Struthio camelus: one gene and its partners. The protein of the gene in region 4 interacts with the protein of the main gene of each other region in a pairwise test. Links are inferred from orthologs where the notes say so. Each region holds a gene or a part of one and is shown on either strand. Other genes may lie near its edges. The genes, in order: WASHC3, NUP54, EMILIN1 and IFT20.

Region 1 (6,927 bases), on a different chromosome or scaffold from region 4:
ATATTCAACTGAAATTTATTTTGATAACTGTTGAACAGTCTTTAATCTTGGCTTCGCTGAAAGGTGGAGCTACATAACTGAGTCTTTACATGCCTACATATATATGTACACATGCATAGGATATAAGCTGCTTTCAGTTACATACTGTACAGTATTTATTCCTTAAATGTGATATTTATCATCCAGTATGGGTGCTGGTACAGAAATTCATTTTCAAATCGTACACAGTGTAAATTTGGATATTATCCCTGAATTATTTTGTATAAATCCTCCCGCTGGGATTCAGACATTAATAGTTCCAGTTTAACTAGCTCGATTAAAACATTTTAAAGAGGTTTTGGAAAAATTTGGATCATTTGCCTCCACTCTGTTTGTGTTTTTCACTTTTCATACCCTGCATTTTGTAGTTCCAGCTGGGAGAAAAAGTGCTGTGTTACAGCTTTCTGCGCAGTATTTTTGGCCAAATCAAAAGAAGGAAGTACCAGAAAGTTCACAGACGAGCCGATTCTTGTCAGACTTCTTGTCCAATTTTACAGATCAAATGATTCAGCTAAGATTTGGCTAAGCATCTATATTATAAAATTTCTTTAGCAATGCCTGGAAAACTTACATTATGGGCATTTTTTGGTAAATGAGATTCATTCTTCTTGCATACAACTTGTCCTTTAAGATAATTAAGATGGCAAGATAATTCACTTAGATATTTTAAACAAACAGTTCCTTCCCCCAAAAATAATTTGCAGAATTGCCATAGGCTAGATTAAACCTATTGAATTTGTAGGCTAACCCCCTCCTTCCTTTGAGAGATGTGAGAAATTGCCAAGTATATGTCACTGGGCCAAAACACCGTACAAAACCCAGGTTGTTCAATAATTCAAACAGTATGGACAAAAAGGACTTTGCTATGTAGTATTTTAGCTGAAAGAATAAGAGGGATATGAGTATGACGAAAGATAAGTTAAAGAAACCACTAAATACGAAATCAAAGAAAAGCAGCTTCAGCACATAAATGAATATTTTACCTAATTTCGGAGCAACAGAGGTAGGTACTCCAGTTCTATTCCAGTCCTCATAGATCCTGGAAATGGGATTGCTTAGTGAAACAAAATAATTTGGAAGTAAACTGAGAATTTAAAATTTTAATTAAAATTAGCATAGCACTTTAGGGATATAATCTTCACTTTAGGGATATAATCTTAATAGTATTAAAGTAATTAGCACCTTTTGGTTCATCTCATCACATGAGAAGCTTCCTACTGACAGCCTCAGACTATGGTAGATTCTTAACTGCTCTAAATTTAGATAGTTTTATTGGATTTATGAGTATTTAGAGGTAGCCATGAGGTGTTTTCATCAGGCACTTACTCCACTACACTCTATTTGGATACACTGCTGTTACAAACAACCTGGAACCCCAAATTGCTCTGATTTGTCTTGTCTTCCAGTAATACACAAACCTAGAATATAAATGAATTAAAGTTTTAATTAAAAAGGTTGAGCTGTTTGTTATATCATTGGAACAAAAGATTACCAACAACCTCATTCCAGGATCTTTAGTTGCTTAGCTTGGATTCTCCAAAGCACAGCCCAGGTGTCAGGACTGAGAATTCTGTGCTCACAATGAACACTCCAAAGGTTAGCCTCTTTTCTGAACTAATTATTTTTGTCAAATCTGTGAATAAACTCTGAGAGTTAATGACAGTTTTCACAGAAGGAACAAATGCAATCTGCATGTACTGCTGGAGCTGGGGCTTACTTAAAACTGCTAGTGTGCCTGATGCTCTCTTTGGAGCTATGTGTTAGGAGATTTAAAGGTAGTTTCTCATCCTTCATTCATACTTAATCAGCCACAGGATTGGATGCATGATCTATCTGTAATTGCCATTCCTGGCTCTTTTAGAGGCAATGTCCTAAAATGTGTAATGACTTGTTCTTCTTTGAGCCTAACCAGCTGGCTGGTTGATCAGTCCCAAAGAATACAGACAGTATAGCTCACAGAAGACCTGTTGACAATGTGGAAACCAATTATTTAATACAAGATAGGGTTCAAACACTCTCTGTTCATTTCACAATCTCTTGTATATAACTGTGTATAAATGTATATACCACATTCAAAATCTTATGAGCACAGATGGCAGATGCGGTTAACAGGGCCAGAAGATCAGCTCTCCTTCCTAAGCTTTTACTGTGACTATCAGAGTTTCAGCCAGCAAAATAGCTATCTCAATCACCGTGCACAGTTCATTATATATTTTTAAAGTTACACATCAGATGCGCATCCAGCAAATAAGTGTTTCTTTCTATTGCTGTTCTCCTGAAACGCCAAGGGCGAAGTTGCATGAGATGGCAGAATTATCTGCATTTTGCTACCACTCCCTGAAAGGAAAGGTCTCGTTTTCTTTTAACACTGCCCCTCCCTTATACACAGACTCTGGTGTTCAATGCACACTTCAGCTGATTTGATTCAGCTCATTACCCAAAGAGGAAAAACTCCCTCCTCTAAGGTTAGTTGTCTGCCAGGATGGCAATTTGAATTGCCTCAAGGATGGGTTCACCGAGAACAAGTGATAAACTGAGTTCACCAGCTGGTGGTGAAGGGTGAGAGGGAGGTGGAAAAGCCTTTCGACGAAGCAAGCTATTGGAGTGGTCCATACCGTCTTCATTTTGGGACCCCACACCTAAATGGTTTGATTAGTGCTCTGAAATTAGCCACAGCGGAAAATAACATGAGCAACTTCTCAGAGATAAAAAAAAAAAAAAGAGGTTGATTGTTTTACAGTTAGGGAATTATTCCGGATGAACACTTGGAAACCTACTGACCATTCCCTTTTTCCTTAGAGTCTGATACCCCTAAGTTTCTTTGGCCGAGAGAAACAGAGTAGACCTTCTTATAACCTAAACATGAGAGCAAATAGAAAGCAGTGGTAGGTATTGCTGAACAAAAGAAAACATCACCATAGGTCAGCACAGGAGGCACATATACAGCAAGGGCATCTTTGGAAAATACCAACATTACTGTATGGTGAAGAACTTCAATGAATAACCTGCTTCATTGTCACTAAATACTGGTATTACTTTTCTGCTCAAGCTGACTGTGATCCCCTATTGTTTTAATGATACGAATTTTCTATTATGTCTTTATTCTCATATCATGTGTTAACTATTTAAACACTCTCCTATCCATTGTTACCCTATGATCAGAGGAAACCCCATCTTTCACCTTGTCTGGGTTTACTGGTGAGCTGTACCACCAGTACACCAGTTATTGCAAAATCATCAAAGTGAACATTCAGCCGAGCTTAATTCTTATAAATCTTCTCATGTTAAATATCCTGTCAAAACCAAACAAATAAAAGGCAGAAGTGAGAGATACTGCTATTTAAGAGACTTGTTCAAGCGAAAAGTTACTTGTTTAGTAAAGGCCCGTTACAGTCAGCTTTCCAAACACATTTCATGAATGTTTTCAACATATCTTTATTAAAAATGATTTTTTTATATTTATTTTTATATTATCCTTTTTATATTACAGACGTATTTTTTAAGTTTTGAATATATCCATGAGATACGCAGTACAATCCTGGAAAACCCTAAGGAAAAGCACTGATAAAATCTGAATGAAACTATCAGTTTATAAAATACGATTACAGAGATGATAGTGGCAGAGCACTAAGCAGCATTAACTGAAACACTAACGTTAAGACAGGCCGCAGCTAAGGTTCCCCGTACTCCCTTAGCTCCTTTTGCAGTAAGGTACAGAAATCTTTCGTAACTTGATTGCCCAGGCTCATTCACTGCTCGTGACTTTTATCCGACCCTCCATCATCCAAAAAACGCCCCAAAAAATAAAAAAAAATCAGTTTCCTTGCGGATATTTCTCCTTATTTGGCTGCCTGACGGCTGGGGAAGACCTTTCCCCTCCACAGCCCGTTATCCAAGGCCTTGTTTTCAGACAGGTCGGTGCGGCAGCGTGAGCCCCGGCCGCAACGGGGGCCTTTTGCCAAACGCACTAGAAGAACAAGGGCGAAGGCAGCACCGCGGTGCTTCAGCAGCCGCCCTTACAAAGACGCGGAAGGAGGCCGGTAGAGGCGGGGGGACCTGCGCCCGCCGCCGCCGCCACAGCTCGCCTTCCCCCCCCGCCCCCCCAACCCCGCACCTCGCTCGGACTACACTTCCCATGGCGCATTGCGGCAGGGGCCGGGGCGCTGCACATGCGCACAGCGGCCAGCGCCTTGCCGGAGCCGGCGGGCGGGTTTGTTTCCGGGCGGTGGTCAGAGGTCGGGCGCGCAGCGCGAGGGCCTTGCGGGGGGCGGCGGGGCTGTCGGCCGCCCCTCGGCCGCGGGGCGGCGGGGCGATGGATGAGGACGGGCTGCCCATCGTGGGCTCCGGCATTGACCTCACCAAGGTACGGGGCGCCGGCCGCCGCGGAGGCCGCAGCTGGCCCGGCCCGGCCCGGCCCGGCCCGGCCGCGGCTGCGCTGACCCTGGTGCTGGGCGGGCCGGGTGCTGCCGCCCGAGGCCCCGGCGTGGGGGGTTGGGGGCGCCCGGCCGCCGCCCCCGGGGCGCAGAGTGGTATGCGAAAGTAACTTCGTCCCTGCAGCGGAGGCGCCCGGCAGGCCCGGCGGTTTGTCTCGTCTTGAGCTGTGTCTGCGAGGGGACAGTCTTGCGCTCTTCCAGAGGCGCTTGGCTGCAAGTAACAGCGTCGTGTTTACGGGTTAAACCGTGTCGGGCTTCGAACTGTGAAACAAACCCTATGCAAAGCTGCCTACCTTGGTCTTTTAGTGATTAAAACAAAAAAAAAAAAAAAACCCACGTTATTAGCTTTGTTTATGAAATATCAAGCATAAGGATTGGACAGTTCCAGGCCTGATGATTCCCCTTCCTTCCATCCATCTTCCTAGCCCCGTAACTTTCTGATAAGGATTTGACCGCTGTTTGATGGTTTTGGAGCTACAGAATTGAACTTTAGGAGATCTTGGACTACAGGTGAACAGATTGACAACTGAAGCGATAGTAACAACAATCTCACAAAAAATCAGGATGTTTTCATGTTGGCAAAGGTAGTGAATGGCTGCACTGACAGGTGGGAGTGCAGCAAACAAGTAGCAACCGTAAGTGCTTGCTGAACAGCTAATCCTGTCAATGTAGTCGTACTCAGGTGCTGATTAAGACAAACTGTGGTTCAGTGCAGCTAAAGCTTTGCTACAAATGTTTTTCCTTGTAAGTGCTCTGCTTGAATCAATTAAGATTCCCTGTGTAACTTCTTATGTGGAATTTAAGACTTTTCACTATTGTCCAAAAATGAACTCTGAAGCCCTGTAATTTTATAGGCAAACATTTGTGTGAATGTTCTCGGTTTGCATCTTTTCTAATGGTTTAAATAAAAATGCCAGCTATTTGTTGCAAATGAACACCACACCTGTTTTCGACAAATATAACCTTCTACACCTTTTAGCCTGAAAAGTACATGTGCATGAACCTCCCACTTGGAAGAGCGACACTGAAGTCTAATTTTAGGATAATCTTAGCTTGAAAAAAATATATAGGTATTCAGTAAAGACAGACAGCAATTTCACTACTCCTTATTTTTGATTGTGAAGTATTGATGATAGTTTTAACTGAGTACTTACATGGATGGACAGGTTTTCTTTTTCCTCCTTAAACTTCCAAAAGAGAGGTTCTGACCTGCTCTCTCTCTCTTTTTTTTTTTTTTAATTTTAATGCTGATTTTCAAGGGTTTTCATAATTTCATTCAAAAGCATTTGCTTAAATAAGGTAACTGTCCTTCAGTTATGTGAATATTCCCTTTTCCATGTATCTTTTAACTTTTCAAGTATGACATTAGTAAATTTTTAATGAAAAAGAATTTGTATATCTATAAGCAATGAATAAACATATATATATGTATATATATATGCATTCATATCAGGCACGCTTAGGGCTTACTTCTAAAATAATTTCTTCTAAAATACTTGCAGTTTTTTATAACTATCTTAGTCTAGATGTGAGAGTTGATGCCTGTGTATAAGCTAATTTTCTTATATTGTTTAATGCAGGTTCCTGCTATTCAGCAGAAAAGAACTGTAGCATTTCTAAACCAGTTTGTGGTTCACACCGTACAGTTTCTCAACCGATTTTCTACTGTTTGTGAAGAGGTATGTTTATTGTTTCCCATTTGTCAATTTGTATAGATGAAAAAACAAATTCAGAAATGAGAACCATTCAATTTGATACGTTTTGCTGCAAGATGGCCAGGTAGCTTAAACCAGAAAATTTAATCGATGCAGTGTTTCTCTTGAGTGAAGACGTAAGACAGATTTTTTTTTTCCAAGTTACCCATGTGAATTGCTGATTGTACCAGACTGATAACCTTTTTCCTTAAACTTTTGCATTTGGCACAGTCTTTGGACTTTTTTCTGAGCAGCTCCATTTGTGGATATGCTCTTCTTTTGGAAGAAGAATGCCTTCTTTCTATGCTGCTGGATCTATTTTGAAAGTCAGTATTCATCTCATCCTACGATGCACATCAAAATTTTCTTGCAAATATTTTCCACCTTTACTTTGAAAGGGTGATATGCTAAGCTCTGCATGTAAATGATATTCATGTGAAAAAAAGACGTTTTTGGCAAGTGATTAGCATGGAACATGAGGCAGTTGATTTTAGTGTTTTCTCAGAAAGAGAAAAGTAAAAACAGTAAAAGCTGACAAGTTTTTATGGTGAATTTAGTGTCCAAGAAAACATACCAGACTGACAGTACTAGAATTGATCACAGAACAGGTCTAGAGTGTTTCATCCCTTGTAGAAAGGTTGGTTTCTAATGTGGCTTTAAGCTTAACCTTTTTATCATGAGGGTTTTTTTGTAACTGTTGACTCGCTTACTCAACAAAGACTACTATACAGCCCTAGCCAGCAGCAATTGTCATATCCAAT
Region 2 (7,633 bases), on a different chromosome or scaffold from region 4:
ACTGACAGCCATAGATGATCATAACCACTATATCAGTGAAAAGAAAATGCCCTGATTTGTTATAAGAATGACGCGGGTAAAATTTGCAAATGGCCTTAGGAATGTGGGCTGCGGGAGTACCCTTTTAGCAGGGTATTGTACACTACAGCAGGCTCCTGTGTCACCCAGGAACACTTGAAAATTTTGCTGTAGGCCTCGTATTGTCTTTTCTGTAGAGTGCTACAGGCTTCTTACTACCAGGGTGCGCTGACTGTTAGTATCATTGGCCCTTTCACAGGACTGATTTGTAAAACTAATCCAAAACATTCACTGAAATTTAGTTAAACATACATAGATATTAAGTAAAAAGAAGCCAATGATTTGAAATGTTTTTCCTTACAGACCTCTTACCTGTTTTAACTGTGCGCAGGATCCCATTGCATGTTAGTGATACATTTATCCTTTAGTTTTTTCTTGAACTTATAAAACAAAACAAAGCACAGCATTGCTCTTGATGGTGGAGGGTACAAAATGGTATTCTTTTTTCTCTGATATTTGTGTCACAATTATCAACTGTGAGGTGTAATGTGATCGAAGACTTGGCAGTTAAATGTATTGTTTAGGATGCAAGCAGACCTCCACATTAAGGTATGTATAGGGCCCTGAAAAGCCAAAATGTTTTTTTACTTGTCAAGTGGAAACTCTGCTGTTTTAAAAACAAAGGTATTTTTTCCCCCAGTGCAAGGAGTATTTTCATTGAGAAAATATCCATGAGATAAGATAGTGAATCAAATTTTAAAATGTATTGTTTTTTTCAAAACAGAGGCATTGTTTTTGGCATTGTTTTGGTTTATCTTTTTGCCTAGCTGACAACTGGCTCAGCAGTTTTGTTCATCTGGAGCCAGTTCCATCCAGGAACTTTCACAGTGATGACAGTTATTTATTATGTGTTGTCTAAAAGCGCTTGCCGCAGCCCAGGGTCCTCACAGTGCTGCAGTTCCAGCTTTGCCTGTTCCACACAAGGGGCAGATTTGCCTCAAGCTGTGCTTTCAGCAGAAGGCCAGAGCCTAACAAATTAGTATCCTAAGCCAGGGCCCGAGCTTGCTGCTTGGCTGAGGAACAGGACTCCGCTAGGACATTGCCTGCCTATCTCCTTGTGAACTGTAAGCGTATACCCCAGGAATAAGAGACTCGTTCCAGCTTTTTACATGCAGTCACCTCAGCGAAGCTGTTCTGGAGCAACCCCTCTCTTCGACATCGTGGGCTGAAACTATCATCTCTACTCCATGTCCCCCAGATGTTGCCTTTTGGCTGTCTGGGCTGCAGATAATGCTCTGTGATAACACTTTGGCAACTTTCTTTGCTCTACTTTAACCCAGACTGCTGCTCTTCTTGCCATGTCCCGGATGCCGGATATGTAGTTGGAGTCAGTCACCTTAATGGTTTTGCGCTATTCATTTCCTTCCTCGGCTGATGTCTGAGAGAATCTGCCTCATAGGGAAAGTCCAGTGGATTTTCTTTCCTAGCTGCCTGCCAAGTCATACCCTGGGGAGAGTCTGCCTGCAAATTATGGTGTCAGGAAGGGGGCAGGGAAAAACTGCTGATTCCAATGTGAGGCAGCTCCCCACTAAGATAAGTCTTTCTCAGGCAGATATGGAGAGGCACCAGGCTGCGTGGCTACTATAATCAGCACAGTATAGCCACGTGAGTGTGTATCTCCTTCTCGAGTCAGTGTGCACTGACTTTTTGGGGGGGTTGATTAGGCTCCATCACGCTCTGTGCTAAAGGAGTTCGTTGCTCCCCTTGTAGAGCTGCCTCTGGTATCTGTGTGCCACAGCATGTAGGTAGGCTCCAAGGCATCTATATTCAGAGTCTCGTCTGCTAACAGGCAGTTTGTCTTGCACAGTGTAGGCCGGAGACTCGGCAAGGCCTCAGTGTCTCCGTTCTACAAGCCAGGCCACTGCGCTCTAAAGGCACGCGATCTGCCTTGGCTGCATCTTGTGCATGAGTGTCTAGACTGCAGCACAGAACTAAAATCCTCAGTGATGCTTCCACCATTGCCCATGGTTTTCCCAGTTTTAGTCTTAATAAATAAGTAATAAGATTCCTAGAAGGAATAAGATTATTCTGATCAAATGATAATGTTTCAGAGGGTAAAATCCCCCTTCCGGAGAGAATTAGCGAGCAGTCCCTGCACCACAGGTGCTTTGGCCAAAGTGGCTTCAGCCAACTCCAAGGCAGATGGGGGGGGTGACTTCAGAGCTGCAGCTGGTCTCAAGGACTAGGGAGCGGAGGCAAGCCAGAGCCTGACACAGGACTTCAGAGGTGGTAACTCCGTTCCTTGGGCTCATTGCTCAGCCACTGTAAACCTCCGTGGCTCCTTTGCCATCAGGGGAGCCGTTCCCCCTTACATATACGAGGGGCTTTGCCCTTCAGTGTTGCTCTCTTTCTGAAGATGCAAGATGAACATCCTAGCTCTCTGAATTACTGTTGCTAGCTGTTTGTTTGTGTGTGCTTCCCTAACATGATCCAGCACGTTAAGCTGCACTTCTCTTTTCCTTACTGAATTGCTGCAGTACCTCCATTCTGCGACCTGTTTCTGAGAAGTTTTTTTTTCCCTTGGGAATCGTCTGTTTCTTAAATCTGCATTTAACCAAAAAGGAGGAAATTTTCCTCCGCCTAATACACAGGGAAGATCTGGTTAGGTTCTGTAACTCTTTAATTATTTTTTCCTGCTCTACTATTAGACACTCGATTTATTCTTGTACAGTCAGACTGTTTTTCTGCATCTTCTCAGTTTTGGTGCAAGGGTGGAAATTCTCACAGTGCTGTGGAAAGTGGCTTTCTACTGATTTCAGGGCTGCTTTCTTCTCTGCTGGTGGTGAGGACCTGAGGGCAAAGTTCCGGCAAAAGTTGTCTTTAGTCTCTTGGTTTAGACACAGTTGTTCTGGGCTTCTGAACATCTGAATCTTCCAGCAACAGATACTGAAGCAGACGGATTTTCGGAAGACCGTAGCTTGACCTAGCCCTGTGCCCACAGAAGTCAGTTGCGTTCTGCTGTAGGCTCTGTGGGATCCTCTGAAACCTCCCCTATAAATGGGTACAAATTGACAGACAAATGCTTAGCTGCTTGGAGGAAGGTACATAAATGTCTTAGTAAAATGACTACAGAATTTTAGAAAGAAACGAGCCTAAAAGATGCCTGCTGGTTTGGCTGATATTTTATTTCCTTTTTGGTTTATTAAACCAGTGTATTTCCATGTGATGCCTTGTAGTGGAGTCTTATGCCCTCCTACTAATACAGCATCTACAAAATAGCAGCTGTACTTTGGAAGAGCTGTTCGCATTGGACACCAGGCTTTCCCTCACTAACTTAGACATGGTGACAGTTTGGTGGTTCACGCAGTGGGGACAGTTATCACCAAGAATTTATTGCACTATTTTGGTGTGATCAGTGGTCTGGCTATTTTCTGTGACGCCAGGGTCTCTTTTGTTCTCTCTTTTTATTTGTAAGTGTTCAAGAAAACACTAAAACATGTATTTTACTCCTGTGAGTGCATCGTGTGTATGATGACAATAACACTCGTGTGCCGGCGCAAGCTCCTGCGCTGCCCAGGGCCTGCAGGGTGGCTGGAGCTTTGGTTCCCCTGCTCCGTAGCACGCCTTCGTCCGCCTCCCGGCGCTTGGTGGTGACACGGGAGACGTACAGGGCTGCGAGGACGCTGGGCAACTTTGTGCGGGCGCTCGCGTAGGAGCAGGGGGAGCTGCCGCCTTTGCTATCCAGGGATGGTGGCGCTTCAACTGCACGGCGCAGCTGGGAGGAAGAAACCATTGGCCCTTGTAAAACGCGTGAAGCCGTCAGCGTGCAGCCACCCTTGGTGTGAGCGGGAGTCCAGCACGGGGCAGGGTGCTGAGCGCCGGGGCGGCAGCTCCCCGGGGCACCCAGGCATCTTGGTAAGAGTTGCACATGCTGCGCCCAGCAAAGACTGGACACGTAATCCCTCCCCTTTGCTGCTCCACAAAGTATTAGTTGTTCTCGGAGCCAAGGATGATCCCGTGCAGCGTTTAGTTACTTACAAGTGCTGAAGACTTGTGGGGGATGATTGTCAACTTCGCTGATTGTTTACTGATTGTTTTTTAAGCTGAAGTTATTTCCCGGTGGCTGACCAGAGGAGACACTTGAGCGCAAATCACTGTGTCTGCACGCGTGGCTCACTTCTTGAGACGAGCAGTTTTTATTTCCACTGTACATTCAGATCAGACGTCGCACTAATAAAAGTTAATGTTTCTATTTAAGCGACCCTGGGCGTGTGACGCTTCTTTTACCGGGCGCAGCCGCCCTGCTCTGCTTCTGCCCCTCAGTGCGCTGAGGGAAGCGCTGCGCCGAGAGCCGCTCACTCCCAGGCTGCGGGGCCCCGGGCCGGCTCCCACCCGCGGCCCCGCCGCAGCCTCCGCGCCGGGCGGCCCCCAGGGGGCGGCAGAGGGCGCGCGGGGGGAGGCGGGGAGGCGGCTCGCGTCATCCGTGGCGTCACCGCCCGGGGCCGCGCCCCGCCCCTCTGCGGCGCGCGTTGCCGTGGCGACAGGCGGGGCCGCGCTTGCTTCGGAGGTCGGCGGTATAACCCGGAAGCGGCGCTGGGCAGCGGCCGGAAGCAGCGGGGGTTTGTTTCCAGCCGGACGCCTCGGGCGTTGCACGCTGCTCCCGCGGCCCCGCCAGGAGCACCTCATGGCCTTCAACTTCGGGGCGACGGCGGGGGCCGGTGCCGCCAACCCTACCGGTGAGTGTGAGCGGCCGCGCGGGCGGGAGGGAGGAGCCGCTGCAGTCGCTCTGCTGGGGCCGGGGAGCTGCCTTTTTCTCTTCCCCCCCCCACGTGCCCTGCCGTGGCGGCCGAACCCCTAACGGTCGCGGGGCGCGCGAGCCCCCCCCGCACGAGCCCCCCCCCCACGTGCCCTGCCGTGGCAGCCGAGCCCCTAACGGTCGCGGGGCGCACGAGCCCCCCCCCCGCGTGCCCTGCCGTGGCAGCCGAGCCCCTAACGGTCGCGGGGCGCACGAGCCCCCCCCCACGTGCCCTGCCGTGGCGGCCGAACCCCTAACGGTCGCGGGGCGCACGAGCCCCCCCCCACGTGCCCTGCCGTGGCGGCCGAGCCCCTAACGGTCGCGGGGCGCACGAGCCCCCCCCCCCCACGTGCCCTGCCGTGGCGGCCGAACCCCTAACGGTCGCGGGGCGCGCGAGCCCCCCCCGCACGAGCCCCCCCCCCACGTGCCCTGCCGTGGCGGCCGAGCCCCTAACGGTCGCGGGGCGCGCGAGCCCCCCCCCCACGTGCCCTGCCGTGGCGGCCGAACCCCTAACGGTCGCGGGGCGCGCGAGCCCCCCCCGCACGAGCCCCCCCCCACGTGCCCTGCCGTGGCAGCCGAGCCCCTAACGGTCGCGGGGCGCGCGAGCCCCCCCCCCACGTGCCCTGCCGTGGCGGCCGAACCCCTAACGGTCGCGGGGCGCGCGAGCCCCCCCCGCACGAGCCCCCCCCCACGTGCCCTGCCGTGGCAGCCGAGCCCCTAACGGTCGCGGGGCGCACGAGCCCCCCCCCCACGTGCCCTGCCGTGGCGGCCGAGCCCCTAACGGTCGCGGGGCGCGCGAGCCCCCCCCCCACGTGCCCTGCCGTGGCGGCCGAGCCCCTAACGGTCGCGGGGCGCGCGAGCCCCCCCCGCACGAGCCCCCCCCCACGTGCCCTGCCGTGGCAGCCGAGCCCCTAACGGTCGCGGGGCGCACGAGCCCCCCCCCCACGTGCCCTGCCGTGGCGGCCGAACCCCTAAGGGTCGCGGGGCGCGCGGGGGTCAGCAGCCAAGCGCCCAACGGCCGCGCACGAGAGCTGTGTCCCCTTCCCCCCCCCCCCCCCCCCACAGCCCTACACACAGGTGAGGCGCCGCAGCAGCCGAGCCCCCAACGGTCGTGACGCGCCGTTGCAGGTGAGCCCCTAACGGTCGCCGGGTCCTTGGCATGGCTGGGCCGAGACTGTTTTTTCAGTTCTTGGCGGCGGCGGTGTGGGCTCCAGGACGGACCCCTCGGCTTTTTTCTCCCAGGCACTTTAGATCAGAGTTTGTCTCTCTGATTATGGTTGTTGTTAGTCTTTTTTCCCCCCCCCCCACCGTTTGTTTGTATGTCTTTCTCCTGTGGGTACAGCTGCAAGTAGCAGTGGGAGGTCACTGTAAGAACTTAGCCGGCGCTTGTCTGTATTCATGCAGTTGTGGAAATGCTTAAATATCGTTAGTCACTCTTAGAGCGTGCGGGGTATGCGTTACCTGACTGATGCTGACAGATCACTCAGATTCTCACTTTCAATTGCAGTAATGTTTCTCTAAGAATGAGAGGCTCCTGGAAGTCAATTTCTGAGAAGTGCAAAACACTGTTGAACTTGGAAAGACTGAAAGACTCCCCCTGCCCCTCTTTTTGTTGCTGCCCAATGACTGCCAGTGTTGGTGAAATGTAAATCAGAGCCTTTCTACTCTCATTTAGTAAAATTATTCTTTCTCAGCTTTTGGAATGTTTAAAATAGATTGAAGAGTCGTGTCTTCTCTGGCTAGTATGCACAGGGCTTGTCATCTTTGGTTTATCTCGGGTTACTTTATGGGCTCTCCTCCTGATTGTGTCATTGTTCTAGATGCAGACTTTCTGGCCCATCTTAAGGGAAAAGATAATATTTTACTGCTTGCACAGCTAGTTACTTGGTTTCGTGTGCGTGCAGACCACACACCCAAGAAATCCCAGTTGCCTGCCTAGCATGAGCCTGTTCCCCAGCTACTGCTGAGGAGGACCTGATAGGGATGCAGTGTATTGGCCCGTTTTTCTTAGCCTGGAGAACCTTGGGTGCGTGAGGTCAGACACCTGCAAGCACAAAGGTGGACAGAGAGAAGTTGTGAATGCACTTGAGTGATTGTTAGCCCTTAAGTGCTTGTTATCAGAGTGATTACTGTAGCGAAGATGTATCTTAGCAGCTCGTAGTGCTTTAACTGCTCAAGTTGTATTGCTGTGGTTACGCTGCTACAGCCACCCGTGTGAGGGTAGTATATGGGCATAAAGATCCTTTATCCTTGCCTTCCTGATAGTTTGTGAAATAATGATACTACTGTCAGTCGTGCTGGTACTGATGCAACTGTATTCAGCAGTCGTAGGTGGTTTAAAAAGTACTATTAATGCAAATCTTTAATCACATGGAAATTTTCCTGTTTAACTTAGAAATGGGAACAGAAAAGACTCAAGTGTGTTACATGCGGTATAGTTGAAAAATATGATTACAGTAGCGATGCAAGGAGAGTGTGTCAGACACTAAGCTTGCAATTGTCTTACTTGTGTTCAATAAATGCTCTTTAATATCAATTGACTTCTTACTCTCATTTTTTAACTATGCCTGTTTTGTCTCCTGTGATGGAAAATATTTTAGCTTTTACTTCCTGAACCTGCTTTTTACTTCAAACTAATGTTGCCTTGCTCTTTTTCTGCTTCCCACTTGTCAGGATTTGGTGGGCTTGAAACTGCAAACTCCACTGCCAGTGGGTTTAATTTTGGGGGTTTCGGATTAACTGCTAATCCTGCAGTGAATTTTAATATTGGGAATTTCGGTGTTTCCACTACCTCAACTCCACCATTCAATTTTGGTAACA
Region 3 (7,797 bases), on a different chromosome or scaffold from region 4:
TGGGCTGTGCTGGGCCGTGCTGGGCTGTGCTGGGCTGAACTGGGCTGTGCTGGGCCGTGCTGGGCTGTGCTGGGCTGTGCTGGGCCGTGCTGGGCTGTGCTGGGTTGTGCTGGGCCGTGCTGGGCTGTGCTGGGCTGAACTGGGCTGTGCTGGGCTGTGCTGGGCCGTGCTGGGCTGTGCTGGGCTGTGCTGGGCCGTGCTGGGCTGTGCTGGGCTGAACTGGGCCGTGCTGGGCCGTGCTGGGCTGTGCTGGGCCGTGCTGGGCTGTGCTGGGCTGTGCTGGGCTGTGCAGGGCCGTGCTGGGCTGTGCTGGGCTGAACTGGGCTGTGCTGGGCCGTGCTGGGCTGAACTGGGCTGTGCTGGGCCGTGCTGGGCTGTGCTGGGCTGTGCTGGGCTGTGCTGGGCTGTGCTGGGCTGAACTGGGCTGTGCTGGGCTGTGCTGGGCTGTGCTGGGCTGTGCTGGGCCGTGCTGGGCCGTGCTGGGCTGTGCTGGGCTGTGCCGGGCTGAACTGGGCCGTGCTGGGCTGTGCTGGGCTGTGCTGGGCTGTGCTGGGCTGTGCTGGGCTGAACTGGGCTGTGCTGGGCTGTGCTGGGCTGAACTGGATTGTGCTGGGTTGTGCTGGGCTGTGCTGGGCTGAACTGGGCCGTGCTGGGTTGTGCTGGGCCATGCTGGGTTGTGCTGGGCTGTGCTGGGCTGAACTGGGCCGTGCCGGGCTGTGCTGGACTGTGCTGGACTGAACTGGGCTGTGCTGGGCCGTGCTGGGCTGTGCTGGGCTGTGCTGGGCCGTGCTGGGCTGTGCTGGGCTGTGCTGGGCTGTGCTGGGTTGTGCTGGGCTGTGCTGGGCTGTGCTGGGCTGTGCTGGGCCACACTGGGCCGTGCTGGACTGTGCTGGACTGAACTGGGCTGTGCTGGGTTGTGCTGGGCCGTGCTGGGCCATGTTGGGTTATGCTGGGCTGAACTGGGCTGTGCTGGGCTGAACTGGGTTGTGCTGGGCTGTGCTGGGCCGTGCTGGGCTGTGCTGGGCTGAGCTGGGTTGTGCTGGGTTGAACTGGGCCGTGCTGGGCTGAACTGGGCTGTGCTGGGCTGTGCTGGGCTGAACTGGGCTGAACTGGGCTGAACTGGGCCATGCTGGGTTGTGCTGGGCTGTGCTGGGCTGAACTGGATTGTGCTGGGTTGTGCTGGGCTGTGCTGGGCTGAACTGGGCCGTGCTGGGCTATGCTGGGCCATGCTGGGTTGAACTGGGCCGTGCTGGGCTGAACTGGGCCGTGCTGGGCCACACTGGGCCGTGCTGGGCAGTGCTGGGCAGTGCTGGGCAGCACTGGGCCACACTGGGCCACACTGGGCAGCACTGGGCCACACTGGGTCACACTGGGCCACGCCGGGCAGCACTGGGCCGCGCCGGGCAGCACTGGGCAGCGCTGGGCAGCACTGGGCAGCACTGGGCTGCGCTGGTGTCAGGGCGGGGTGGAGGGGCTGGCGCGGGGCTGCGGTTCGGGGCAGCCGGGCGGGGGGCGGCCGGCCCCGGCCCCACCGAGGGACGAGGGCCCCGAGCCCCCCGCCACCCCCCCCGGCCCCCCGCGCCGTCCGCGGGACCCCCGGCCCCGGCCCGGCCGCCGGGAGCTGTTTGCACTGAACCCGCGCCCCCTCCCCAGGCAGCGGCCGGTTCCCGGGCGGCTGAGCCAGGCGGTGACGTCACCCGGGGCCGGGGCCAAGGTGTGACGTCATAGGGGGCTGGGAGCGGGGGCCATTACATCACTGCATAGCCTGGGGAAGCCGTGATGTCACTGCAGGCCCAGGGCCAGGGTGGCCGTGATGTCACTGCATGGCCGGGGTGGCCGTGATGTCACCACGTGGCCAGGGTGGCCGTGATGTCACTGCATGGCCGGGGCGGCCGTGTCGTCAGTGCCCAGTCCCGGCTGCGTCCCCACTCCCGTGACACCCCCCCCCCGCGGGGGGTGACACCATGGCAGGCGACAGCCCCGGCCAGTCCCGGCCCCTTTGCACCCCCGCGCTGGCGGGCTGTGGGCTGGCGGCCCTGTGGGGACCGGGGGCAGTGGGGGGGGCCGGGGGCCGTGCAGGAGCAGGGGGCCGGGCAGGAGCAGGGGGCCGGGCAGGAGCAGGGTGCTGTGCAGGAGCAGGGGGCCGTGCAGGAGCAGGGGGCCGGGCAGGAGCAGGGGGCCGGGCAGGAGCAGGGGGCCGGGCAGGAGCAGGGGGCCGGGCAGGAGCAGGGGGCCGTGCAGGAGCAGGGTGCTGGGCAGGAGCTGGGGGCCGTGCAGGAGCAGGGGGCCGGGCAGGAGCAGGGTGCTGTGCAGGAGCAGGGTGCTGTGCAGGAGCAGGGGGCCGTGCAGGAGCAGGGGGCCGTGCAGGAGCAGGGGGCCGTGCAGGAGCAGGGGGCCGGGCAGGAGCAGGGGGCCGGGCAGGAGCAGGGGGCCGGGCAGGAGCAGGGGGCCGGGCAGGAGCAGGGGGCCGTGCAGGAGCAGGGTGCTGTGCAGGAGCAGGGGGCCGTGCAGGAGCAGGGGGCCGGGCAGGAGCAGGGTGCTGTGCAGGAGCAGGGTGCTGTGCAGGAGCAGGGGGCCGTGCAGGAGCAGGGGGCCGGGCAGGAGCAGGGTGCTGTGCAGGAGCAGGGGGCCGGGCAGGAGCAGGGTGCTGTGCAGGAGCAGGGTGCCGTGCAGGAGCAGGGGGCCGGGCAGGAGCAGGGTGCTGTGCAGGAGCAGGGTGCCGTGCAGGAGCAGGGGGCCGGGCAGGAGCCGGGGGCCGTGCAGGAGCCGGGGGCCGTGCAGGAGCCGGGGGCCGGGCAGGAGCCGGGGGCCGGGCAGGAGCAGGGTGCTGGGCAGGAGCAGGGTGCTGGGCAGGAGTAGGGGGCCGTGCAGGAGCAGGGGGCCGTGCAGGAGCCGGGGGCCGTGCAGGAGCAGGGGGCCGTGCAGGAGCAGGGGGCCGTGCAGGAGCAGGGGGCCGGGCAGGAGCCGGGGGCCGTGCAGGAGCCGGGGGCCGTGCAGGAGCCGGGGGCCGTGCAGGAGCAGGGTGCTGGGCAGGAGCCGGGTGCTGGGCAGGAGCCGGGTGCTGGGCAGGAGCAGGGGGCCGTGCAGGAGCAGGGGGCCGTGCAGGAGCCGGGGGCCGTGCAGGAGCAGGGGGCCGTGCAGGAGCCGGGGGCCGGGCAGGAGCAGGGTGCTGGGCAGGAGCAGGGGGCCGTGCAGGAGCAGGGGGCCGTGCAGGAGCCGGGGGCCGTGCAGGAGCAGGGTGCTGGGCAGGAGCAGGGTGCTGTGCAGGAGCCGGGTGCTGGGCAGGAGCAGGGGGCCGTGCAGGAGCCGGGGGCCGTGCAGGAGCCGGGGGCCGTGCAGGAGCCGGGGGCCGTGCAGGAGCAGGGGGCCGTGCAGGAGCAGGGGGCCGGGCAGGAGCCGGGGGCCGGGCAGGAGCCGGGGGCCGGGCAGGAGCAGGGGGCCGTGCAGGAGCAGGGTGCTGGGCAGGAGCAGGGGGCCGTGCAGGAGCCGGGGGCCGGGCAGGAGCCGGGGGCCGTGCAGGAGCAGGGGGCCGTGCAGGAGCCGGGGGCCGGGCAGGAGCAGGGTGCTGGGCAGGAGCAGGGTGCTGTGCAGGAGCCGGGTGCTGGGCAGGAGCAGGGGGCCGTGCAGGAGCAGGGGGCCGTGCAGGAGCCGGGGGCCGTGCAGGAGCAGGGTGCTGTGCAGGAGCAGGGTGCTGTGCAGGAGCAGGGTGCTGGGCAGGAGCAGGGGGCCGTGCAGGAGCCGGGGGCCGGGCAGGAGCCGGGGGCCGTGCAGGAGCAGGGGGCCGTGCAGGAGCCGGGGGCCGGGCAGGAGCAGGGTGCTGGGCAGGAGCAGGGGGCCGTGCAGGAGCAGGGTGCTGGGCAGGAGCAGGGGGCCGTGCAGGAGCAGGGTGCTGTGCAGGAGCAGGGGGCCGTGCAGGAGCAGGGGGCCGTGCAGGAGCCGGGGGCCGTGCAGGAGCAGGGTGCTGTGCAGGAGCAGGGTGCTGTGCAGGAGCAGGGTGCTGGGCAGGAGCAGGGGGCCGTGCAGGAGCCGGGGGCCGGGCAGGAGCCGGGGGCCGTGCAGGAGCAGGGGGCCGTGCAGGAGCCGGGGGCCGGGCAGGAGCAGGGTGCTGGGCAGGAGCAGGGGGCCGTGCAGGAGCCGGGGGCCGTGCAGGAGCAGGGGGCCGGGCAGGAGCAGGGTGCTGGGCAGGAGCCGGGGGCCGTGCAGGAGCAGGGGGCCGTGCAGGAGCAGGGGGCCGTGCAGGAGCAGGGTGCTGGGCAGGAGCAGGGTGCTGGGCAGGAGCAGGGTGCTGTGCAGGAGCAGGGTGCCGGGCAGGAGCCGGGGGCCGTGCAGGAGCCGGGGGCCGTGCAGGAGCAGGGTGCTGTGCAGGAGCCGGGTGCTGGGCAGGAGCAGGGTGCTGTGCAGGAGCCGGGTGCTGTGCAGGAGCCGGGGGCCGTGCAGGAGCCGGGGGCCGGGCAGGAGCCGGGGGCCGGGCAGGAGCCGGGGGTGCAGCAAGGGGTGCCAGGGACCCCGCGCAGTAGCAGCGGCCGCGCTGGCGGCTGTGCAGCCCTGGCCCCCTGCCCGGCCTCTCTGGCTTTCCCCGTCCCTCCTTCGCCGTCCTCGCTGGCGTCCCGGCCTAACGAGAAGCAGATGTGCGCGGCGGCGGCGGCGGCGGCGGCCGGGGGGGGGGGGGGGGGGGGGGGCAGCCCAGGCCGGGGCAGAGGCGGGGGCGGCGCGGGCGGGGCGGGGAGGGGGCCGCGGCGGGCAGGAAGCGGGGGGCCCCGGGGACCCCGTCGGGCGGGCGGGCAGCGCCGGGGCGGCTCTGGCGGCGAGGGGCCGGCCGAGGCGCGGCCGAGGGGAGGGCAGAGCCCAGCCGGGAGGGACGGAGCCGCGACGGGACGCGCCATGCGCTCCTGAGCAGGGCTGCGCCCGCCGTGCCGTCCGCGCTGGCCAGCATGGCCCCCTGGCTCTGGCCGTGCCTCCTGGCCGCCCAGGCCCTGGCCGCCAACTTCCCCCCCAGGTACAGCCTCTACACCGGGGGGGCCGCCCCGCTGAGCCCCGTCCAGGCCACGGCCCCGCAGGGCCCCGCCGCGGCCCACGGCGGCGCCCGGGCCGCCAGCCGGCACAGGTAGGAGACGCGACCGCCACGCTGTGCCACGCTGCGCCGTGCCGCGCTGCATGGTGCCGTGCTGCGCCGTGCTGCATCGTGCCGTGCTGCATCGTGCCGTGCTGCGCCGCGCCCTGCGCCGTGCCGTGCTGCGCCGTGCTGCATCGTGCCGTGCCACATCGTGCCGTGCCGTGCTGCACCGTGCCATGCAGTGCCATGCTGCACCATGCCGTGCCGTGCTGCACCGTGCCATGCAGTGCCATGCTGCATCGTGCCGTGCCGTGCTGCACCGCGCCGTGCAGTGCTGTGCTGCAGCGTGCCGTGCCGTGCTGCACCGTGGCATGCCATCCTGCACCGTGCCGTGCCATGCAGCGCCACGCCATGCCACACTACGCCAGGGAGGCGAGCCCAGGCGTCCGGGCGGCGTCGCCTGCCCCAACACCGTGGGGTGCCCGGGACCAGCCGGACGCCGGCACGTGCTGCGTCCTGCTCAGGGCCCCGCCAGCAGGGCCAGGGTGCAGGACCCGTGCCTGGGGCCACCCGCGGGGTGCTGGGGGCCCTGGGGCCCGGGCGGCATGGCGTGGGGCTGAGCTGGGCCCGGCGGGGGCCCCGGTGCCGACACGGGGCTGCGAGCCGAGCTGCCACCCCGGCTGCCAAGCGTGGAGGGGCTGGGGCCGCAGGCGGTAGGGCGGGTGGGTGTCAGGGGGGTCCTGAGAGCGGGGGGCATGCAGGGGGGCTGGGGACGGGGTGCACTGGGGGCTGGGGAGGGGTGCACATGGGGCGTCAGGGACGGGGTGCACGAGGAGGAGCCCAGCCTCGAGGGTGCACCGGGTGGGAGATGGGGACGGGGTGCACATGGAGGGGGGTCGGGGACGGGGTGCACGTGGCGGGGTTTGGGGAACGGGGTGCACGAGGAGGAGCCCAGCCTCGAGGGTGCACTGGGCGGGGGGGGGTTGGGGACGGGGTGCACATTGTGGGGGGACGGGGGGGGGGTCTGGGCAGGAGGAGTTTTAAGGAAAGGTGTGTGCATGGAGGGGCTTGGAGTGGGGGGCGCCCCGAGGGCTGGGGCGGGGGGGTGGAGGGCTGCCCGGACCCCGCAGCCCGCCCCACGGCTGCCCCGCTCGCCGCGGGGCGCCGGGCCGGGGGGCCGGCGGGCGAGGGAGGGAGGGAGGGGGCGTCCGCCGCAGGAATTCCCGGAGGCCCCCGGGGAAGGAGCTGGAATCCGGCCGGGGGCCTGAGGGGGAACCAGCCGGGCTGACGGGAACGGGCCGGCGGGGGGGCGCCGGGACGCCCCGCTCCCCGGCCCCGGCCCCCTCGGCCGGGCTCGCAGCACAGGGTTTGGCCGAGGCCCCTGCGGTTGCAGCCGGGGCGGCAGTGGGGCAGGCCGTGGGGCGCGCAGCCCGGGCATCCCCCAGCACCCCACGGCCCCGCGCCCGGCTTCCCCTCGCAGCCACGCGGCGGGGTGGCCGTCCCCGGCGGGGCTCCCGGTCCGCCGTGCCCCTGCCGTACCCCCCCGCCGTGCCCCTGCTGTGCCCCCGCCGTGCCCCCACCGTGCACCCTGCTGTGCCCCCCGCCGTGCACCCTGCTGTGCCCCCGCCGTGCCCCCGCCGTGCACCCTGCTGTGCCCCCCCGCCGTGCCCCTGCCGTGCCCCTGCCGTTCCCCCGCCGTGCCCCCCCGCCATGCCCCCGCCGTGCCCCCGCCGTGCACCCTGCCATACCCCCACTGTGCCCCCGCTGTGCACCCTACTGTGCCCCCACCGTGCACCCTGCCACGCCCCCCCGCCGTACCCCCGCTGTGCCCCCGCCATGCACCCTGCCATGCCCCCCCGCCATGCCCCCGCCGTGCACCCTGTCATGCCCCCCTGCGGTGCACCCTGCTGTGCCCCCGCCGTGCCCCCCGCCGTGCCCCCCCGCCGTGCCCCCGCCGTACCCCTGCCGTGCCCCCCCGCTGTGCCCCCACCGTGCCCCCGCTGTGCCCCCGCCGTGCACCCTACCGTGCCCCAGCTGTGCCCCCCCGCCGTGCCCCCTGCATTGCCCCCGCCGTGCCCCCGCTGTGCGCCCCGCTGTGCTCCCCGCCGTGCCCCCCACTGTGCACCCACCGTGCCCCTTGCCGTGCCCCCGCTGTGCCCCCCACCGTGCACCCACTGTGCCCCTGCCATGCCCCCGCTGTGCACCCTACTGTGCCCCCGCCATGCCCCCTTGCCGTGCCCCCGCTGTGCCCCCCACCATGCCCCCGCTGTGCACCCACCATGCCCCTTGCCGTGCCCGCGCTGTGTGCCCCACCGTTCCCCCACCGTGCACCCCGCTGTGCACCTTACTGTGCCCCTGCCGTGCCCCCCACTGTGCCCCTGCTCTGCCCCCGCTGTGCTCCCACCGTGCCCCCGCCGTGCCCCCGCCGTGCCCCCGCCATGCCCAGGGTGATCAAAGGGCCCCGGCGCTGCGGGCGGCCGGGCAGAGCGGAGATGAAAGGGCTCCGGCCCGGGGCAGGATCCAGCCCCTTAACCCGGCCGCCCTGGGCCGTGGCAGCCCTGGGCGGGCGCCTGCCCGGAGGGTGCCCGGCCGTGCACTGGGAGGGTGCTGGGGTGCGCCAGGAGGGTGCTGGGTGCGTGCCGGGGAGGGTGCTGGGGTGTGTGCTGGGAAGGTGCCCGGATGTGTGCCGGGAGGGTGCTGGGGTGTGCGCTGAGAGGGTGCTGGGTGTGCACCAGGAGGGTGCT
Region 4 (7,867 bases):
AAGTGAATTGGGGCTAAGTTCTGTGGCCTACCTAGAAAAATTTGTCAGCCTCCCAACCATCTTCTACTGTTGTTCAGAGTTAACAAAAAGAAAAGTATTCCAGGGATGCCAAAACATAGAATAGCCCAGAAAACACAGTGTGGGAAAAACACTGTTCCGGTCTCCGAATACGAGTAAAGAACACAGACAGATCAGGAGAGAGTGGAAAGTGGAAGCAGCACAGGAAGGAGTAGTAGATGAACGTTTTTCTGATTCTAAAACATCCCTGAGGGCACATTGACTAGGAAACAGGATGTCTGACTTGCTGGCAAACAATAGCAATGCAGGACACACGCAAGCAGAGGACTTAGTACAGTGACAAACTCTCTTCCATAATGTGGAAGGCAGGAAAAAAATGGTATTTGGGGACCCAGGTGCAGAGGACATTATAAGAAAAGTAGACTAAACCACTACTAGATTCTCCAGCTGTGGCTGTCAGAACACTAACCCTGTCCTCTCTTCAGGCTAAGGCTCTTACACAAAATTGCTGGGCTAAACTGATTTAGTCATATACAAACCAGCGTACTCAAGAGGAATTTGGTTTAAGTGATATGCACACAAAGAAGTTGTGTCAGTTTAAGTAAAAACACTGTTATGCATCAAGTTTAAATTGATGCAGTCTCAGCATGTGGAAGAGCTTTCACAGATGAATATTCTGAAACACCAAGAGGTTAAATACTTGCCATCCTCTCTCAATCTCTTCTCCACAGTGCTACAAGCCTCATTCCTAAGGTATCATTTTGCTATGGGATAGTAAAGAGAGGAAAACAGAAGCATTCATAGGCATTGCTGACATCAGTCTTCTTACTTGTTCTGTTCTCTATAATTTATTATGGATTTTTATTTTTATAATGCCAGGAATCAATGTCCAGCATGAGGCGACATAATACTTGACTGGTGACTAAATACTGTCACAACATGGATATGTATTGTCAGCAACAAGTGGAACATACTATTAGGAGGGGAAAAAAACCCAGAATCCTCAACATAGCAAGCAAGGCTGTTGAGTTTGAAAGATGAAAACTGAATGTCCCCCCACCCCCAGTTTTGATTGACACCACTATATATCACCCAATAAATGACAACCCATGTGCCGTATGTTCAGTCTTGATAACGTCAGCAATCTGTGTACCAGCTGGGATTGTAGCAAAGAGAACTAGTCCCTCCTCTAGTTAATTTTAGTAACAAAAGAGCACATTTTCATAAGGCACGGAGGCTTGCTAGAGCCAATGGGAGCTGGGTGCCTAATGTTCCAAATTACTTTCCGAATACGTTTTTCCTTATACCCTTCACTCAGCATAGTCTACAAAAACTATTGTTTTACAAAATTCTCCACATCAAAAGACATTCCCCTTACCTTCCTTGTCTGTGAGCACTTCCATTCTGCCACTGAACATAGCCTTCAACATTGTGTCATGCCTGGTCAGTACTTGAACCGTAGTATAATATAAGGAACCCCCAACATTTAGTCGCACATATTTGTTACCAAGGTTGCCCCCTTTGAAGTTGCTAGTTTTGGGCTTGGATCCTGCAGCTGGACAAAGGGTGGTTAGACATGTGTCCCCTGACATCTCCTTCTGTAGATAGATGACAACCCTGCAGAGCGTGGGCTTGATGGATTCCGCCGTGATTGGTGAAGAGTCACAAGTCACGAGATGAGGAGTGCAAGGCAAAAACAGTCGTAACCCACTGGACCCTTGAAACAGAAACGTATAAAGATCAATACAGAAGCCTGGAATTACCATTTAAAACAAAAACAGGAAACCCACATTAAAGAAGAAATGTATTCAGTAGATTCTTAAGGACACATCTGCACAAATTCTGACAAAACAAGACGTAAGTGTTTTTCAAACAACTTACACAGCAATATAATGATTGTTCAGCACCATACTGTTAAGTTATGGCTGCATTACTGTTAGCGAGGCAAGTAAAACTTTTCTGGACTTCCTTTTGTTTAGTCCTCAGTCAATATAACAATCACCATCCAATCCTGTACAAGTTTAAATAATAGTTAGAATTTGGCTCCCTCCCAACTTCCCAAAATAATGTAACTTTTTCTTGTGCAAATCTAAAACACAATGGAAGAGCTTTCTGCAATGTCTCCAGCTGGGGTTTATATGAATTTTTTTTTTAACTGGAGACATTTACAGAGGTTTCAGCTGCCTCTCTTTCAAGTGCCTCGACACTAAAATGCTGGGCCATAATGCTCTATTTCCTGGTACATCCTTCATTCAAAACTCTTTTTCCTCTGTCCTGGAATGCCAAGCAGTCAATATAATACTAATTTTTCTATTTAAAAAATACGTCCAGTCTTTGGAATATTTGCCTCACGGAAAAGCCAGCTAAGACATTCACAACTTCCTTCCTCTCCCCAGTCTCACTATACTTATCTTTCCATCCAAGAGAAGCTTAGAATGGAAACAAACAAACAAACAAAAGGAGAACAAAACTCAGTTTAACAGGCCAGATCTCAGGTTCTTTAACTGGAAAAGTACAAGTACGGGTTTCTCAGCTAGCCTTCTTTTAATAACTGTTGGCCTCAGAAACATTTTGCTGGCTTTTCCCCTCTCACTATGCTTTTGTCTGTTTATCTATTTCAGACTACAAGCGTCTGTTCGCTTCTCTGTTCTGTGCCCGTGGTACATGAGTGACCTTTTATAAATAAATATAATAACCTGTTAACTGTATTGCTATTCTTCCCACATCCCTCTTCCTTCTCACCCCACCTCAGCTTTCAGCATGGAAAAAACCCACATCTCTCCATCCATCTGGTGCAGCAAATTACTTAGCAGCTACAGATGGTATCTTAAAATTGCCAGAGATTTGAATAGCTACTGAACTTAGAACGATATCTAACATAATGTTATTCTAATTAAGGAAGCACTACAAAAAAGATCTATTAAACAACAAACAATACAAAAACTTTGCAGGTCACAAAGACACAAACCAATGTTAACAATTTTAGTGCCAAGAGAGATCAGTTTGTCTATAAATGCTGGAACTCCCACTAGCTGTCAACACTCTTTACTTTCAACTAATCATCCTAGAACACAATAGTAAATTTACTTCTACATCTGAACAAGCCAATTTTTTTTTCTGAGCACATCATTTTAGACAAGTCGTCCATTGACAAATATAAGTCAAAGGCAACTGCATGTTACAAATGAACTAGGCTAGAAAAGTAATTTCAAACTGGTAAGCAGCCAGCAACAAACAAAAACTGTGCATGCGATTATGGTGCTATAAGAAGTTTATTACCCAGAAGAGCTAAAAGCTATGGAGAAATTGACCAGAACTTCTCCAAACACATTGCACATAACACAATTCCTCCTTACTAGACATAGGTGTTTACTATAATCTTTTACAAATAAGTAAATCAAGACTAGAAGCAACTATACTTATTGTTTCAGTTAAGACCTTTGGTAGACCTAAGTTATACCTCTATTTCTACAAATTTGTTACAGATGTCCTGTCTTGTTTTAGCCCATAGCGATCTCTCTTTAAAACAAAAGCATGTTTTTAAAGATAGCCAGATTGATCATGCAACAAAAGAAATAACTCCAGACCCAAACAGAGCTCTTTAATGTCTTTCTAATGGATAGCAAAATTCTCTATCCAGCCTATCCAAGTAGGAGCAAATACTATTACTGTAACATGTTTATTAACTAGCAAGCTAGGAGGCTTTTGCTGCAAACAGTAATTTGACCTTTAATTACACCCATTAACGCAAGAGAAAATTTTCTACGTCCTTTCCTTCCTGCCTTTTGTGGGAAGCAGATGGAGAACTGCAGAACAATAACACGGCAGTTCAGACACCCTATCAGGAAATGGTCCCAGTTGAGGACTTCCATAAAAAGAAATAACGTTAACAGCTCAAGAGGAGAAAAAAAAAACTTGAACAGAATCACTTCTAAAGTGGCACACTTTCTGTCTAATTTCTGGACTAGACAAAATGGTCTTAGTAGTTTTGGACACTCCCAGGCTCTGCCAAGCCCATCATGATGGGACAGAAGCATGACCCCGATCCTTGCTGAAGTCTGCACAGAGCTGAGCAGCACAAGAAAGGTTATGGATAGAGAAGGTTTAGTGGAGTCAGAAAGGAAGGTGGCATGAGCACGTCAGTGTCAGAACAGCGGAGAAAAAGGAGGTTTCCTGCGTGCCCCGAAGTTTCACATACAGATGGAGGGCAACGTTTCCAGAGACAAAGTTTCCGGGTGCTGAATTACTCGAGTCCACGCACCTGGCCTCTATTCCTTGGTCAGCAAGGGCGACAGCACCACAGCGGCAGAATGTTTCCTCTCGGGGTCTCAGTTTTACATCTGGCAAGGCAAATAACAAGGTCACCCTAGAAGCTAAATACTCATGTGAGCAGGAGTTCTCCCCTAGCCGTCTCTCACCGCCCACCGGGATGCTGGGACGATACCTGACCGCACTCTTCCTCAGCCCCGCTCGGCCGGCAGCGCCGCGCTCCCGCGCCCGCAGGCTCAGCCCCGCCGCGCCAGGCCTCCGGCCGCCGCCGCCGCCGCCCCCCGCGCCTCCCGGCTCCGCCGTGCCCTCCCCCGCGGACCCGCCGCCTCGAGCGCTCACCCCCCCGCGGCCCCTCGGCTGAGCTCATTTCCTCCGCGCGCCGGCAACCCGGAAACGCTCCCCGCCGCCGGGACTACAGCTCCCGACGTGCCGCGGGCTCGGCGGGAGGCTGGGACTACAGCTCCCGGCGTGCCGGGTAGGGCCCCGCGACTGCAGTACCGTCCCCCCTGTCGCCGTGGCAGCCGCGGTGCGGAGGGGCGCTGCCAGGTGACGGGGGCGGCGGGAGGGACGGGACGGGCCGCCGGCGGGGAAGGCGCTCGCTGCGGTGCCGGCTTGCTGCGGAGCGCGCCTGGGAGCGGCAGCGGGGGCGGCATGGCCCGCGACGCCCTGGGGCAAGCCGGGCTGCATTTCGACGAGCTGAACAAGCTTCGCGTGCTGGAGCCCGGCGTGGCCGAGCAGACGGCGCAGCTCCGCGAGGAGTGCGGCGCCTTCGTGGACAGTAAGTGCCGCTCCGCCGGGGCGCCGCGCCGCGCCCGAGAGCCCGCGCGGCCCCTCGGGAGCGGTTTGTTAGCAGGTGTCGCTTAGCGGGGCCGTGCGGGGGCTCCGCAGCTTCGAATAACCATTCCTTGAATAGACGGATCGGAAAAATGCCTTGAAGTGACGAAAAAATTAAGGAAGCGGACTCCGTGGCGTAAAGGACGGTGATGAATCCCGTTAACGTTTATGGGCTTCTCTCTTTTTTGTTCCCCTTTTATATCCTACCTGTTGTGAAGGAAAATCTTAAAGTGCACCTATTTACAGTAAACTGAAAGGACTAAGAAGTCACGGCTGAAATTCAAAGCCTATAGTACACATATTAGTCTTATTTGGTGTTATTTTGATGGATATTACTTGACTTTTTTTTTTTCTTTGCAGAAGTAGTAGAATTTCAAAAAATAGTGGGTAGCTTAATTGAACTTGTTGATCAACTAGCAAAAGCTGCTGAAAGTGAGAAGATGAAGGTACTGCGCAATTAATTACTGGCTTGTAACATACCCTGCCCTGTACAATGCATGAAAAACCAGCTCCCTTCCTTCCTACTTTTACAGTATAAACAATAATTTTCTGTCAGCATCATGCAGATATTTTCCATGGTAGTTAACATCTCCCTGCCTGTCTGGTATGAAAGCATAGGGGCTACAAAAAACTGACATTAACAACTGGAAAAATTTTATAAGCACACCTGGAGTGTGACATTACTCCTGCATTTAATAGTGCTACTGTTGCAGCTTATCAGTATATTGCATGTAAACAGAAAATGTTTTCTGATCAATATTTCTACCATTTGAACTTAGTTCATGAGAGGATCCACGAGGAGGAAGAAAGGGCTGTCCAAAGACCAAATCAATATATATCTCTGTAACTACCTCTGAAACTTTCTTGGCGTATTTCTATGCGTCACTAAGACTTTTTTCCCCCCTATTATTGCGAAAATAAAAATGAACAACTAGCAAAATTGTAGGTAGTTGCTTTTTCATCATTTGTTCTGGGGAAAAAATTATAACCAGAGCTTGTCTATCTGTAGTACTAGTCACCAATGATCAGATTGTATTTCCAGAAGAGTCAGTGGCTTTCCTGTCAGCGTGTTATGAACACTTGAAGTTTGAAGGAAGCCTCAAATGCCTTAATCTGCACAACTGCTACAGGGCTGTCTGCCTGTTCCACTAAACATTCAGTATCAACATGATATCCTCTTCTATTGTTAGCACGGCTGAAACACTTCAAAATCAATCTAATAGTAACAAAAGTGGTTTTAAAAAAAAAAAAAAAGCTCCTGATACAACTACGTCACTGCAAATCCTGTTTTGACAGGCCATTGGTGCACGAAATTTGCTGAAGTCTATAGCTAAGCAAAGAGAAGCTCAGGAACAGCAACTTCAGGCTTTAATAGCTGAGAAAAAGATGCAGTTGGAAAGGTAAGTTTTATATTAAATATAGTTTTTTGGGCATTGATTTAATATTTTGAAATGAAAGTAGTATATCATACATGACAAACTCAGCTCAATTATGTAGACTGTATACTCAGTCTTATCATCTGTGCTTGCCTGAAGGAGGAAAGTCTCTAAGCTTGTTCAAACAGTCCACCTGCAGCTAAGGTGTATCCTCCCATACAAGGCATGTATGAATAATGCAGCAGCATAATTCTATGCTTAACTTAAGGCCCTGTCTACCACTCTTGCAGGAAGCCTCATTTCTAATGTTTTTGTGGCTAAATAGAGGGGGCACGAGATCATGCAGCTAAGAAACTTAATAAAACTGTAATACAGTGCTGTTTGGATTTTTGTAGGTACTTCAGAACTGCAGTGTCTAACTGATGTAGCCACTGCTTTAAAAATTACTTATGCGCTTAGCCTAGATTTCCTTCACAACAGACCCATGAAGATAGAACTAAATCATCTAAATAACAGGAGCTGAATGTAGCTTGTAACCATTTTTTCTCTTTCAGATACCGAATAGAGTATGAGACACTATGTAAAATAGAAGCTGACCAGCATGAATTCATTGACCAATTCATTTTTCAAAAATAAAGGATTTTAAGATAAACAGCATACTGACCTGGGAACTTGACCATTCCAGGATCCTGAGGCTTTCAAAAATATGCAATTTTTCATTGTATATGAATTAACAGATGGCTTGTACAAATGAAAATGTTTTTTAATACAATTTGAATTTACACTAAAAGTGGCAATAAGGAAAGCTTTCTAACAGATGTAAATAAAGACAGTTCTGTCCTGTAGTTTTATAAAATGTTTGTACAGTCAGTAGTTCAAATTCAGATTACAATTGAATTAACGCTACTGTTGCTATGTTATGTTTCTCACTTTTTGAAGTGTGCAACTCTTTTAAATAAATCAGGAAATAAATTATTGTTTTCAGACCTTCTGGGGAATCTCAGAATTACTGCTTCTGCTAAGTTTATTTCTGCTCTTAAGAGTTTACAACTCTGCATAATCATAATGGAGAATTTCCTACGTATAATATTTTCATGTTTATAAAGACAACACACAACAGAGAGAAGCAGCAGTAATTTTATCTGTATTGATCAGATTTTCCTTTTCTATCCATTTAAAAAGAAAACAAGGAAAATTGAGCAACAGTTGATTAATTACAAATGAAAAAAGTAGAAAACATAGAATTCAGATTAAATTACATCTGAGGTGCAACGTCCATACAGCTAGTAATATTAGAGTAGAATATTTTTCTGAACATTAACTTCAAATTGATGAGACAAACTGTTCCAAGGGTACTGTAAAACAAGGGG

Evidence for each region.
Region 1: the proteins of IFT20 (region 4) and WASHC3 interact in binary tests that used the Homo sapiens proteins (3 or more experiments, as listed by UniProt). The two-hybrid records come from large-scale screens. The link is inferred for Struthio camelus from reciprocal best matches to the Homo sapiens genes IFT20 and WASHC3.
Region 2: the proteins of IFT20 (region 4) and NUP54 interact in binary tests that used the Homo sapiens proteins (3 or more experiments, as listed by UniProt). The two-hybrid records come from large-scale screens. The link is inferred for Struthio camelus from reciprocal best matches to the Homo sapiens genes IFT20 and NUP54.
Region 3: the proteins of IFT20 (region 4) and EMILIN1 interact in binary tests that used the Homo sapiens proteins (3 or more experiments, as listed by UniProt). The two-hybrid records come from large-scale screens. The link is inferred for Struthio camelus from reciprocal best matches to the Homo sapiens genes IFT20 and EMILIN1.

The regions. Positions count from the first base shown.
Region 1 is NC_090942.1:63,564,316-63,571,242, forward strand, and holds the start of WASHC3 (WASH complex subunit 3), read left to right. Parts: upstream 1-3,925; 5' UTR 3,926-4,174; coding exon 4,175-4,402; intron 4,403-6,052; coding exon 6,053-6,151; intron 6,152-6,927. UniProt on the Homo sapiens protein: Acts as a component of the WASH core complex that functions as a nucleation-promoting factor (NPF) at the surface of endosomes, where it recruits and activates the Arp2/3 complex to induce actin polymerization, playing a key role in the fission of tubules that serve as transport intermediates during endosome sorting.
Region 2 is NC_090945.1:6,654,416-6,662,048, forward strand, and holds the start of NUP54 (nucleoporin p54), read left to right. Parts: upstream 1-4,629; 5' UTR 4,630-4,702; coding exon 4,703-4,754; intron 4,755-7,486; coding exon 7,487-7,633. UniProt on the Homo sapiens protein: Component of the nuclear pore complex, a complex required for the trafficking across the nuclear membrane.
Region 3 is NC_090944.1:900,675-908,471, reverse strand, and holds the start of EMILIN1 (EMILIN-1), read left to right. Parts: upstream 1-4,791; 5' UTR 4,792-4,931; coding exon 4,932-5,104; intron 5,105-7,797. UniProt on the Homo sapiens protein: Involved in elastic and collagen fibers formation. It is required for EFEMP2 deposition into the extracellular matrix, and collagen network assembly and cross-linking via protein-lysine 6-oxidase/LOX activity.
Region 4 is NC_090957.1:21,431,408-21,439,274, reverse strand, and holds IFT20 (intraflagellar transport protein 20 homolog), read left to right. Parts: upstream 1-4,853; 5' UTR 4,854-4,938; coding exon 4,939-5,065; intron 5,066-5,481; coding exon 5,482-5,567; intron 5,568-6,417; coding exon 6,418-6,521; intron 6,522-7,051; coding exon 7,052-7,133; 3' UTR 7,134-7,488; downstream 7,489-7,867. Other genes in the region: TNFAIP1 (BTB/POZ domain-containing adapter for CUL3-mediated RhoA degradation protein 2), read right to left, coding at 1,397-1,784. UniProt on the Homo sapiens protein: Part of intraflagellar transport (IFT) particles involved in ciliary process assembly. May play a role in the trafficking of ciliary membrane proteins from the Golgi complex to the cilium.